Lepisosteus oculatus: one gene and its partner. The protein of the gene in region 1 interacts with the protein of each later gene in a biochemical or structural test. Links are inferred from orthologs where the notes say so. Each region holds a gene or a part of one and is shown in the gene's direction. Other genes may lie near its edges.

Evidence for each region. The genes of interacting proteins can lie anywhere in the genome.
Region 2: the proteins of rufy1 (region 1) and ras-related protein Rab-14 form a complex in vitro, tested with the Homo sapiens proteins (2 studies listed by BioGRID). The link is inferred for Lepisosteus oculatus from reciprocal best matches to the Homo sapiens genes RUFY1 and RAB14.

What each region holds. Positions count from the first base shown.
Region 1 is NC_090706.1:41,098,472-41,103,843, reverse strand, and holds the start of rufy1 (RUN and FYVE domain-containing protein 1), read left to right. Parts: upstream 1-2,575; 5' UTR 2,576-2,743; coding exon 2,744-3,041; intron 3,042-5,372. Other genes in the region: hbegfa (heparin-binding EGF-like growth factor a), read right to left, coding at 1-53, 552-594. UniProt on the Homo sapiens protein: Activating adapter involved in cargo sorting from early/recycling endosomes. Regulates retrieval of proteins from endosomes to the trans-Golgi network through interaction with the dynein-dynactin complex.
Region 2 is NC_090719.1:14,694,438-14,699,809, reverse strand, and holds the start of ras-related protein Rab-14, read left to right. Parts: upstream 1-1,774; 5' UTR 1,775-1,941; intron 1,942-1,983; exon of another isoform or gene 1,984-2,055; intron 2,056-2,098; exon of another isoform or gene 2,099-2,471; intron 2,472-5,372.

The sequences.
Region 1 (5,372 bases):
TCTCTCGCCGTCGTATCTTGCGATGGTGGCGCCTCTGACCGAGCTGGACAGAACTGCGGGGAGAAGAGGGGTTCAGACTCCGGGCTCGGCGAGCGCACCTGCGCGACGCAACAGCCCAGGCGTGACGGCGACCACGGCTACCACACTGTGCGTTACAGCCCCGCCGCGGAACAGCCACCAGAACCCCGTACAGGCAGGCGGTTATTCACGGAAACCCGGCTACTCTCACAAGCCTGTACCCACGTTTACACTGCTGAATTTGCTCTCGATCGAATGCGTGTTCTTCTTATCCCGGCAGACGTGGGGGAAAAAAAAAGAGTAGGTTTTAACAAGCGTCGAGAGTGCGTTTGCGTCTGGGAGGTGATATTTCACTCTCGGAATAGAGCATTGTGCCTAACCCAAGCCCCGTGCAGGGTACTCTCTTTCTCCATCTAAGTCACTGTGGAACACGGGAGGGAGCTGCTCATTACAGGCACACAAGTCAAGGAAGAGGCGATGAAGAAAAGCGCCCCAGCACCAACCCAAGTGGAGAACTTGTTGGGGTGACTTACCCACGCAGAAGAGCCCCAAGATTGTCGCAGCGAGAACCTTCATGTCTTCAGACTCGGTAGTAATCCAAAAACGCGACTGCGTCTCCGTCGGTAACCTGCTTTTAGCTCCTAAAGTCCCGTCTGATTCCAAGCGCCGCTCCTTCCCGCAAGTCCTCTCGCACAGATACCGAGTCGCTCTCCCAGCCTGACTGACTGGCCAAGAGGCGCTCTCGCCCGCATTTATAGCGAGAGCACGCCCACCTCCACTCCACTCCTTTCCGGAAGAACACACACTGGTGTTGTTAGCTTTGGCAAAACACAGACCCACAGTTCATGGTGAGCCTTGGGAATGTCAGATCATTTTTAAACGATTTGCATGAAATATAATTTGAAAAGGTCAAAAGGTAACGAAGCAGAGTCTGTGATTATGATGCAACGTGTAAGAGGGTTTATTCTTCCCTCGACTCGTCTGTGTTCGCAGAGGGTGCGGACGCTTATAAATGTGAATATCGGGAACAGACTCTTAAAGAAAATAGGAAACGAGTTTATCTCCCCCCTTAACACTAAGAGCACTGAAAGATGACTAAAACTCGGGAAGACCAATCCCTTCCATCGCTGCGAATTGAACAAGAAGAGGATGACCCGTGGGCGCCAGGTTCCCCGAGTTTAAGGGCAGCCGACAGCAGCGTGTTTAGAGCTCAGGTCTTTGCACCGAGGAGCCGGCTTGAAGACACTACTGCTGCACGCTGTATGGTTGTGCATTTGATGAGTAAACTGTGATTGCTGCCTTCAGCCTGCTTTCCCAGCGAGCCTCCTGTGGGGCAGAATTCAGGGTGCGTGTAGACAGGGGCGCACACGCTCAGTCGGGGACAAGTGCAAAGCAGAAGCCGTGTCCTCGACGTCACAGCAGCTTCGCAAAGGCCCGGCTGTCCCGGGACAGCGGCAAAGCAGGCGCTTGGGCCACCCACGTGCGCTTCGTCCCGACCACGTTTCCGCCCAGGGACGCGCGCAGCGGCGGGCGCGCCGACAGCGCCACCGTGTGGCGGGAAGCGGGTTTCCCACCGTCGAATAATTTCCCAGCTTGTATTTAATGTTAGAGCACGGAGCGTGACGGGACGTCTACATCAAATTGACGTGTATCTATCGATTAATTTAAATAAGAAACACACGCTATGATTCTTACACATTATGATTACTGTTACAGTTCTTACACATTATGATTACTCTTATATTCAGAAGCACTTATAATTATTTTATTTAAATATAAGAAAAATAACGGGGCAGAAGGGGGCAGCTCTAATGCGTAAATTAATGACATTTTTAGTCCTCTTGCGCGGCCTAGTGGACCGTCTTTACCTGATATGTTTCCTTGTTCCAATCAACAGACTGGAAATAACCTTGCATCAGAAACACAGAGCCTCTCCTGGAGGCGACAGGTCACAGTACAGAGCCGGTGAATCTGGAACTCTACACCGCTATTATTAGACAATCATCAATATTCTCAGCTGGAATCAAGTCTTAAAGCAGGTCCATTATTTCAGCCCTCTTTCCTGGGGTCTTTGGTTTTTGCTAACGTGCTGTCATTGACCATTAACTTTTTATTTTTAACCTAAGTTGCCGTGTCGCTATGCATTCTCTGAATCTTGTCTAATACCCTAATCATGTCCACAGCCACAGTGACCTCTGCATATTAGGAACATGTCGTTAATCCCACTTTCTGTGTTGCGTGTTAAATTGAAACTGTGCCGTTCGGATCAGTATATAGCTTCATGGGTGACTTTCTCGTGCAATCTTTGTTTATTCATTTAACATCCCAATTTATTTCTCTTTTTTTAATGCGCGCTTTAACATTTGCCATACCTATTGTCTCTGTGTCATACGATATGTCTTGACATGACGTTTTTTTTTCTGTGTGTCTTGTATCTTGTTGGCTGTGTCCTCCCCAGGAATTATTATGAGTTTATTAGATGATTGATCTGTGCTTTTGCACCTTGTGACGTGTGTGTGACGTGTGTGTGAACCCCCCCCCCCCACCACCACCAAGACGGAGGCGCGAGAGTTGCTCCCACCCGACAGAGCGCGAGCCAGAATTCGGAGCTCTCGAGACCACGGATCAGCCCCAGCTGACGAGCCAGCGGGGTTCGATTGCTCAGGTCTGCTCGCTGCCCTCCCCTTAGCTCGTTTGCTTCGGCCTGGCGTCACATGTTTTGAAGATGGAGGCAGACGCCAGGTGTGTTGACACCGGAGCGGGGGACCAGGATAAGGAGGACTTCGAAGTTTTGGAAGGTGTACCGGAGAGTGCAGTCGGCAGCCCTCAGGAGGAGCAGAAAGAGAAGCCCCCGCCGGACGGCGGCTGGTCGGCTCCGATTTTGTCGCTGGCCAGGAGGGCGACGGAGAGCCTGTCCAGTACCGTCAGCCACAGCAGCGCTCTGAGAGGGGCCGCGTCTGCTGCTGGGGTGCTGTCATCCAAGCCGCACCCGGCCAGCAATGACGGGCACACTCCTAAACCAGGTATTCCCAACTGTTGCTTCATTCTGTGCGCGAAACGCAGACGTTGCGTCTTGCTCGCCTTCGGTGAAAGTTGCGTTTTAGTTACTGCACCGAATCGCCGGACACCTGTCTAGCTAAAAACTTCAGCTGGCCGACCCGATGAAACTTTGGTGGTGGAGCTTGCCCTGCCGGAGTAAAGTAGCTCCCTGCTCTGATTTTCTGTGCTTCTGTCTTGTTTTCGGCACGTCGCCCGTGCGGTTGTTGTGTGTCCGGATGTACCTGCGCAGGTAAGCTCACTCGTTGACGTCAGCGCGTCTGCAGCCGTGGCGCTGGGAGGGCACGAGCCGCGGACCTGCCCGCGCACCCCGCGTGTTCGGGCCACGCAGGGGCAGAGTGCGCTTTTCTCGAAACGGAACCTCAGGATTCAAGGCTCCTGAACAATGCGCACGCCTACATGGTGCGATCGGTTTTATGCGTCCTGAAAGTTTCCCAGTGTTCGGGAAATCAAGTCACGCTCACCGCTCCGGTGCGGGCAGTTTCAAGAAAGACGTTTCAGTGGAGCTCATGCATAGCTGCTCACTGCTCAAGTCATGACACAGTGAGGTGTGACTGCAAGGGCGTGTGATGGTCACAGTTCCTCTTTTCCAGATCTCATTTTAGGCTTTTTCCATGATATTTCCAGGCACGTTTTACAGGACAGTCTGGCAGGTTTAGGGCTGAGGAGCATACAGTGCAGTGGTTCTGACTTCAGATAGTCCCCAGTAGAACTACCAGCAAATTCCTTTTCGTTTGCAGTGACGTGGTTTAATGGTCTCAAACCGGGGTGACGGTCCCTACTGCTGGTTTAGTCAAACGCAGGTCTATAGGCTACAGTCGCCCTCAATGCTGGCTCATCCGGCGGCCAGGAGCTGCGCTGGGAAGGGCTGGAAGTAATGGAAGTGCTGGCAGAGTGTCGGAGCATGGCTGTGGATGTGTGCTGGATCTGCAGTGTGACGCTCGTCTCCGGTCTGAAAGGCTGACAGGGACTGTTCCCTGTGTCCTTAAACGCCCCAGATGTGGAGGTGTCGGGTGGTTAGCGGTGTGAATCTCACTACCGTGGAGAGTGAAAGGCTGTTGTGAGCCGCTGGAGTCGCACACTGGAGTTTGTAAAGGCGATGCTCCTTGTGATCGGCTCAGCCCCGAGACGAAGGGTGTGTTGCTCATCTGCCTGCGGGAGAACGTCTGAGCTTGAAAGGCCCAGTGCTGCGCTCTGTCTGCGTGCTTGAAGGCCGTCCAGTTCGCCAGTTAAGCTCAAGCTGCACAGGTGCAGAGCCACACACGCGTAGCTGCATTGTTAACGGGGGCGACTGATTCCCATCATGAGGTAGTAGACCATTCTAGGTCTTAACATGGCGAGTATTTGAGTTCTTCATCTCTTTGTAGCAAGTTTGGAGCAGAACCAGAAAAGAGACAGAATAACAGTATGGAATGTGTCCGATGGATGAATGAAATTTAGTTCCTTTCAGTTTGCTTTTCAAATTCAGATAAAAAAAAGAAATAATGTCTTTCTCTGGTAGACGGTAGATTGCGTTCTTCTTCCAGGAAACGTGTGATCTACTTCTGCTAAACGGAGATTAGCCATCTTAGTTCAGAGGAGAGGTTTTTGTTGTGCAATACTGAGAGGCTTTAAAAACTTATGAGTGTTGGGACAAATATTATTTGTTTGGTTTTATAATATGTCTCATTATATTTTGGACTTTGACATTCTAGACCCCAGTAATGAGATTATGCTTCTGCTTCTGACTGACAACTATTTCTGTGTATAAAGAGACAATCCTTCCGAGGGTTCACATATTTACAGAATTTGTGTCGCCAGCTCTGTGTGGGTTTTAATTTCAGTATTGCTTAAGTGAGGTTTTGTCGAAATCTAGTTCACATAGGAAGCTTTTATTTTCAGGTCGTATGACGCTGTTCAGTCAGGAGAATTTTTTTTCCCCATCGCCCATAAATCAGCAGTTCCCGTCTCAAAGTGGTGGGCATCTGCAGTTCCCTTCCTTCCGTGTCCTGCAGCGACTGAGAGTCCAGTTCTGACACTGCCACCAACCAGCTCCCCATGTGTCACACGCTGGCGACTGTATCTGTACCCGTGCAGGGTGCGTCACTCGCTGACCTCTGAACATTTCAGTTCCACTTAAGATTTCTGTGAAGAAAGTAACTCTGCTCTGTATTCTGTGCAGCTCATTCTTTGCAGATGTTTATTTCTTATTATGACAGTTGCTCTTTTATTAGAAGCGAACGCAGAGGGGTGGAGAACAGGAGACGAACCAAACCAGCACATGTCTTCGTACCAGGCTGTAGTGCTTAGCAAGATAA
Region 2 (5,372 bases), on another chromosome or scaffold:
TACGGTGTCCCCGTCACTATACTGGGGCATTAGGACCCACACAGACCGCAGGGTGAGCGCCCCCCACTGGCCCCACTAACACCTCTTCCAGCAGCAGCCTTAGTGTTTCCCAGGAGTCTCCCCTCCAGGTACTGGCCAGACTCACACCTGCTGAGCCACAGTGAGCTGCCAGCTGCCAGACACAAACCTGCTAACTGGACTGACCTTGGGGATAAACTCGGACTGAGGCTGCAGGCCAGCATGCCTCTGGGCTGTGGGGGGGGAACTGGAGCAGACCCACACAAACCAGCGAGGAACATGCAAACTCCACACAGACAGCACCCCGGGAACTGAACCCAGGGCTGTGAGGCTGCAGTGCTCAACGCTGAGCTTCACAGGGCGGTGCGACAGGCTGCAGCAGTGGAGCAGAAGGAGCTTGTATCGGGGAAACTCCCCAGCCAGCCGCGGGGGAGAGCAGAAATGTGCAGCCTGCTTGTTGTCCGTTAGCAGGGCTGCCTCGCCGAGGTCCACACCCCCAGCTCTGATCAGCTGTGATGTCTCTGACCACTTCCTCCTGGCTCCTGCGTCCCAGGCACCCTGCAGGAGCCAGATCTGCATCCTTACCCGGACGAGACCCTGATCCAGAGCAGACGCTGCAATCTTTTGAGTCACTTCAGAAAAACAATCACATCCTCTGAAAAAGAGGCCCTTTCTCACATTACCATCATGTCTGGAAACTAGATTTATGACTGAGAGGCGTACTATAAAATCAGTTGTTCATACGTGATACCACAGTGTCAGTGTTTATAAACTGGTCAACAAGGTGAAATATTATTATCACTGCCATGTATTTTACTGAAATGTACAACAAAGGTCTCACCTCTTTAATAGAGTTCCTGTGATATTATCTAGTAACTAACTCACGTTATTTATTTAATTTACATGTTCATCACTTACAAAAAACCTCTGAAGGTGAAAGCCACAATAATAATACAAGTCCAGTCCTTGTACTGTCGTTTATTTTGATAAAGATAGGGTTTAATAGTAGAAATACAGTCGAAAGAAAATACAACGCAAACAAGAGTACATACAACATATCAATAACATCGTCCGTTTGACAAAACAGAGTCAAGAGCCAGTAAGGTGCGCACAGTTTTCATTTCACGTTTTTACATTTCCAAAAAGTCCGCCAACACGCCTTCACACCTGTTGTTGGCGCCGTCCTGTAAAGCCCTCAAAGGCGCTATAGAAAATAAAGCTGTGTCGTTAGAGAGATAAGAGATAGATAAGAGTGGATTGATCCCGTAGGGAAACGCTGTATCATCAGAGAGATAGAGATAGATAAGAGTTGATTGATCCCGTAGGGAAACTGATTCATATTATTATTATTACTTTGAATAGTCCGGGACACAGGACTCTCCCCTCTGTAGGAGCACAGTGCCGTGTCGGTGTCACCGTGAAGCTGAGTGCACACCGTGCACGGCGATACTTCCGCAGTGCTGCCGACGGGACGGGACGCCCGTGGCCGGTGGCCCGTGGCCCGTGGCCTCGCGCCTCGCGCCTCGCGCGGGCGCCGGGCGCGCGCCGCTGCCCTTTGTCCCCCCAGGCCCATTGTGTGTGACGGAGGAAACCCTGTGCAGCGCGGGCCGCCATCTTGGATCGGCAGACTCCTCAGCCCAGGATCGCCCTGCGGATCCCTTCACAGCGCCGGAGCGAGTCGACGCAGCCGCCCTCGGAATCACGGTAAGCGGGCCGGGCCGGACCTCCGGGCCGCCCCGCCGGCGGCTGTCGGAGCCGGGCGGTCGCCTCTGGATGAGAATCTCTCCCTTGTCGTCGGGGGGGGGAGAGAAAGGCAGGCAGGAAGGAGGAGGGGGTGACTACACCCAGATCGCGAATATTATCCGGCTCGGCAAGCCCGTCCGCTCCATTCCTGCACGGCGGCGGGTTCTGCACGCCGGGAAGGTGACTGTCGACGTTTCGTGTCGGTTTTTCCCCCCTCTTGTTTTCGCTCGTTTTGCGGGGCTGCGGGCGGCGCTGGCCGGTGGCTTTTGTTCGGTGTCTCTCTATCCGGAAGAGGTCGGTCTCATGATATTTTGTTTGCCGTTTGAATAAGAGGCGAGGAATACCGGGGAGGGGAGGGGGGGTGTTGAAATATCGAGACTATCGCTTCTCGGTGCCCATCGCACAGGGACTGTCGCTCGTCCGCTGCGTGGCGGCACGTTTGGGGGTCCTGTCCCCCCCAGTGCTGTGTCAGGGGGCTGGAGCGGCGACACCGGTGCTGATGGAGGAGGCGGGCCGGGCCTAGCAGCTCTCGCCGGGCAGCAGCACAACCCCGGCCCGGCTGGGAGGGGTTTAAAGTTTAAACGGTGACAGCGTCGGGTGTAATGAAGTGACAACAACACCGGCCGGGTCGCCGGCCAGATATCCGTCCCCCCCCTCCCTTCTGCAAACGCGATCTGAATTCAAGCGGTGCTGCTGTCACGGCGCTGGAGGTGCAGAGCATGTTTTTGATTTGTCATGCGAGAGATATGTGGGGTGGGGGTGTGCTGTCCGTGTCGCTTCATGAGCCTCTCCTGCGGTCTTATCAATGCGTGCTTGTGAAATTGTGGCGAAGACGGCGATTTCTTAGGCTTGCAGGGCATTGCGCTGCCCCTCAGTCCCGGTGAGCTGAGACAGCAGGCCCGGGTCGGTTAAGGTATACGGTGTTGACAGGCGTAGCCGAGCTGCAAATAAAATGGACAATGACGACTGTTCAAAAGAAGCGTTTTACCCCCCTTCTGCCGCATTTCTATTGCAAGACGCTGCATGCGAGGGTCTCTTAGGCCTCGGCTGTGTTGTCGTCTCTGTAAAGCCGGTTTTCAATGGTCCGTACTCAGAAGACCAATTTACACAGCTCTGACGCGTTCTTGGCCACCTTTTTGAATGGTTTTCCAAAAGACAGCCCAGGACGAGACGGGTGTAGAAAGAGTGTTATCCCTGGTTTCTTGGATTTTTCTGGATCTCTGTTCGAAATCGATTGATTCAGTTTTTCAGCTGGGGGATCTCTAAGCAGGATCGGGTGTGTTCTTTCGTGCCTGAAGACAGCCCGCTAGAGTTTCGGCTCTCGGATGCTCAGTGTGCCGCAGATTGTGATCCGAATGTACCACCGAGAAGGGTTAGATCTGAAAACACGTTTTACAAGGATTTCCAGCTACTTGGTTTTGCTTCTGTCGGCATCCAGGCCCCTGTGAGGTCACCCGGATTGTGTATCCTGGAGCAGACTACAGTTTCTGCCTGATTCTGAAAGATGGGGGGAGTTTTATTATGATAAAGGTGAAAAACCTAGGAATGAGGGTGACAAAATCTGAAGAATCGTGTGCACGAATCCCCTGCTGTTCGCCCTGAAGGACCTCAGTGTTTTACTCTTGCACACACAGGAGGGGGTGTATCCCCCAGGTCAGGTGGAGAAGTGAGAGCTCTTGAGGATCTGCCGTGGGGAAACTGAAAACATAGCCACCAGGTTTTCACTTGAGGGGTGTCGGTTGGCTTCGTTCCGTGTGAGCATGTCAGCCGCTGTTTGGTGGAGATGTTGCAGATAATGCACTGCTGAGTCATGATTTGTAAAAAAAAAACGATATTTTAAGCCCCTGCCGTTTTCGCAATTTCCTGACCTCATTTCACGTGAAGTCATTTAAAGGAGCTCAGGGGTGCCTGGTGAGTGTCAGGTAGTAGGCCACAGAGGGAAGGAGTGTGTTCAGCTGCAGGGAGAGAGATGGTGAGGTCTCGCTCTTGTCAGGGAGAGGAAGTGCTGAACTGGCAGGAGCTCAAGGCAGGTTGGTCACATGCTAGCATTCTCTATGCTTGGGAGATTCTTATGGCATTTCTCACAGGAAGTCTTCTCCTTTTGCTTGTCGGCAGTGACTCAGTGAGGAACGGATTCTTTGCGTGTGCCGTGTATGGCACTCCAGACGCGTTGAAGTACTTTGTTTGAAAGAGAGAGGTCGGCTAACGTCTTAAAACTGCAGCGATCTTTCTTCTTCTAGTTTGCTTTGTGTGTGTGTGGGCAAAGCACAGGCCCAAATCGGCAGCCTCAAAAAAAAAAAAAGGGAGCTGAATGATTTGGTATAGTGCACTTTGCACCAGCTTAGCCCAGAACACTCTCGCGGTCCTTAATTCGTCCGTCATGAAAGATGCAGGGGGCATCCCAGGATGACCTCGTTATTTTTTTTTTAAAACTTCATTTTGATTGTGTTTTCCCATCTTGCCATGCACAAGCCCATCCACAGAGAACCGGGTTACAAAGGCTTCTCAAATATTCTTGCTTGTGGATGCCACACCTCGGGTTCTTGTATGTGTACATTGTTACCATAGATATGACAAGATCACCATTCCACCCAATTATATTACAACTGGGGAAAAAAAACAGGCAGGCATGTAAAATGTACAGGTGAGCTTAGTGACCTTGCCGTGACCTAGGGGAGTCTTAATTTCAGGTACTTTTACCTTTCTGTTAACTTGGGAGGGGGTTGTACAATTTCCTACCTCTGGTTAACTTTTACACATTTTTTTTTAATCAGGACTTAATTCACTGTGATGCCCAGATGTAATTCTGGAAAACTCTGTGTGCTGTCTGTGTGGAGTTTGTATGTTCACACGAGTTTCCTCTGGCCACTCCAGTGTCCTCCCGCAGTCCAGAGGCACTGTTTGTCTGTTTACCTTCCAGGGTTAACTGTATACTGTGCCTGTTGCGTGCCAGAAGAGGATCTAGCTCCCCCGCGATCCTGAATTGCATGAAGCAGTTAGAAAATGGATGGTGCTGTAATCTCGCAGTATGAGGAGCGTGTGAGAAATAACTAGTTATGTGACGGACGTAGATTGTTGCTGTTTCAGACTGGGGCGTCAGAGTTCTTGAAGTCACTACAAGGCGCTACGCTGTTGGGGTATCGGTTATGTTCATAAAGATGAGAGGGAATTTCTTCATAAATGATCTTTTTGCTCATGGGTCTCCGTTAGTCGAGAGTGGTTTATAGGTTCTAGAATGAGATAAAACTCAGTTTTGTATGCATGTGTAAATGTAGCACCTGTGTTGAATGGTTTACTTTGAAATCTTTTTTTAGGGGGGGTGTGAATGCTTAATAAGGCACCTTTATTTCTCAATAATAGAATCAGAGAAATGCTTGTAAATGTCAGTGATCTGGCAGCAGTGTGCCAGCTGTGTCCCCTCAGGCGGTTTGCTGTGAAAACAGCCTGTTCGTGTCTCGGGATCATGTATTATTTGCCACAGTGGTGATGATTTAACGCACTCCTTCTGCGGCTGTCGACCTGAAGTGTCTTTATTGCGTTAAACAAACCTCGTTTATCTATGCGCCGGAAAGGGGAATTGAACTGTTTTCATTTCCGTGGTTTCAAATCCG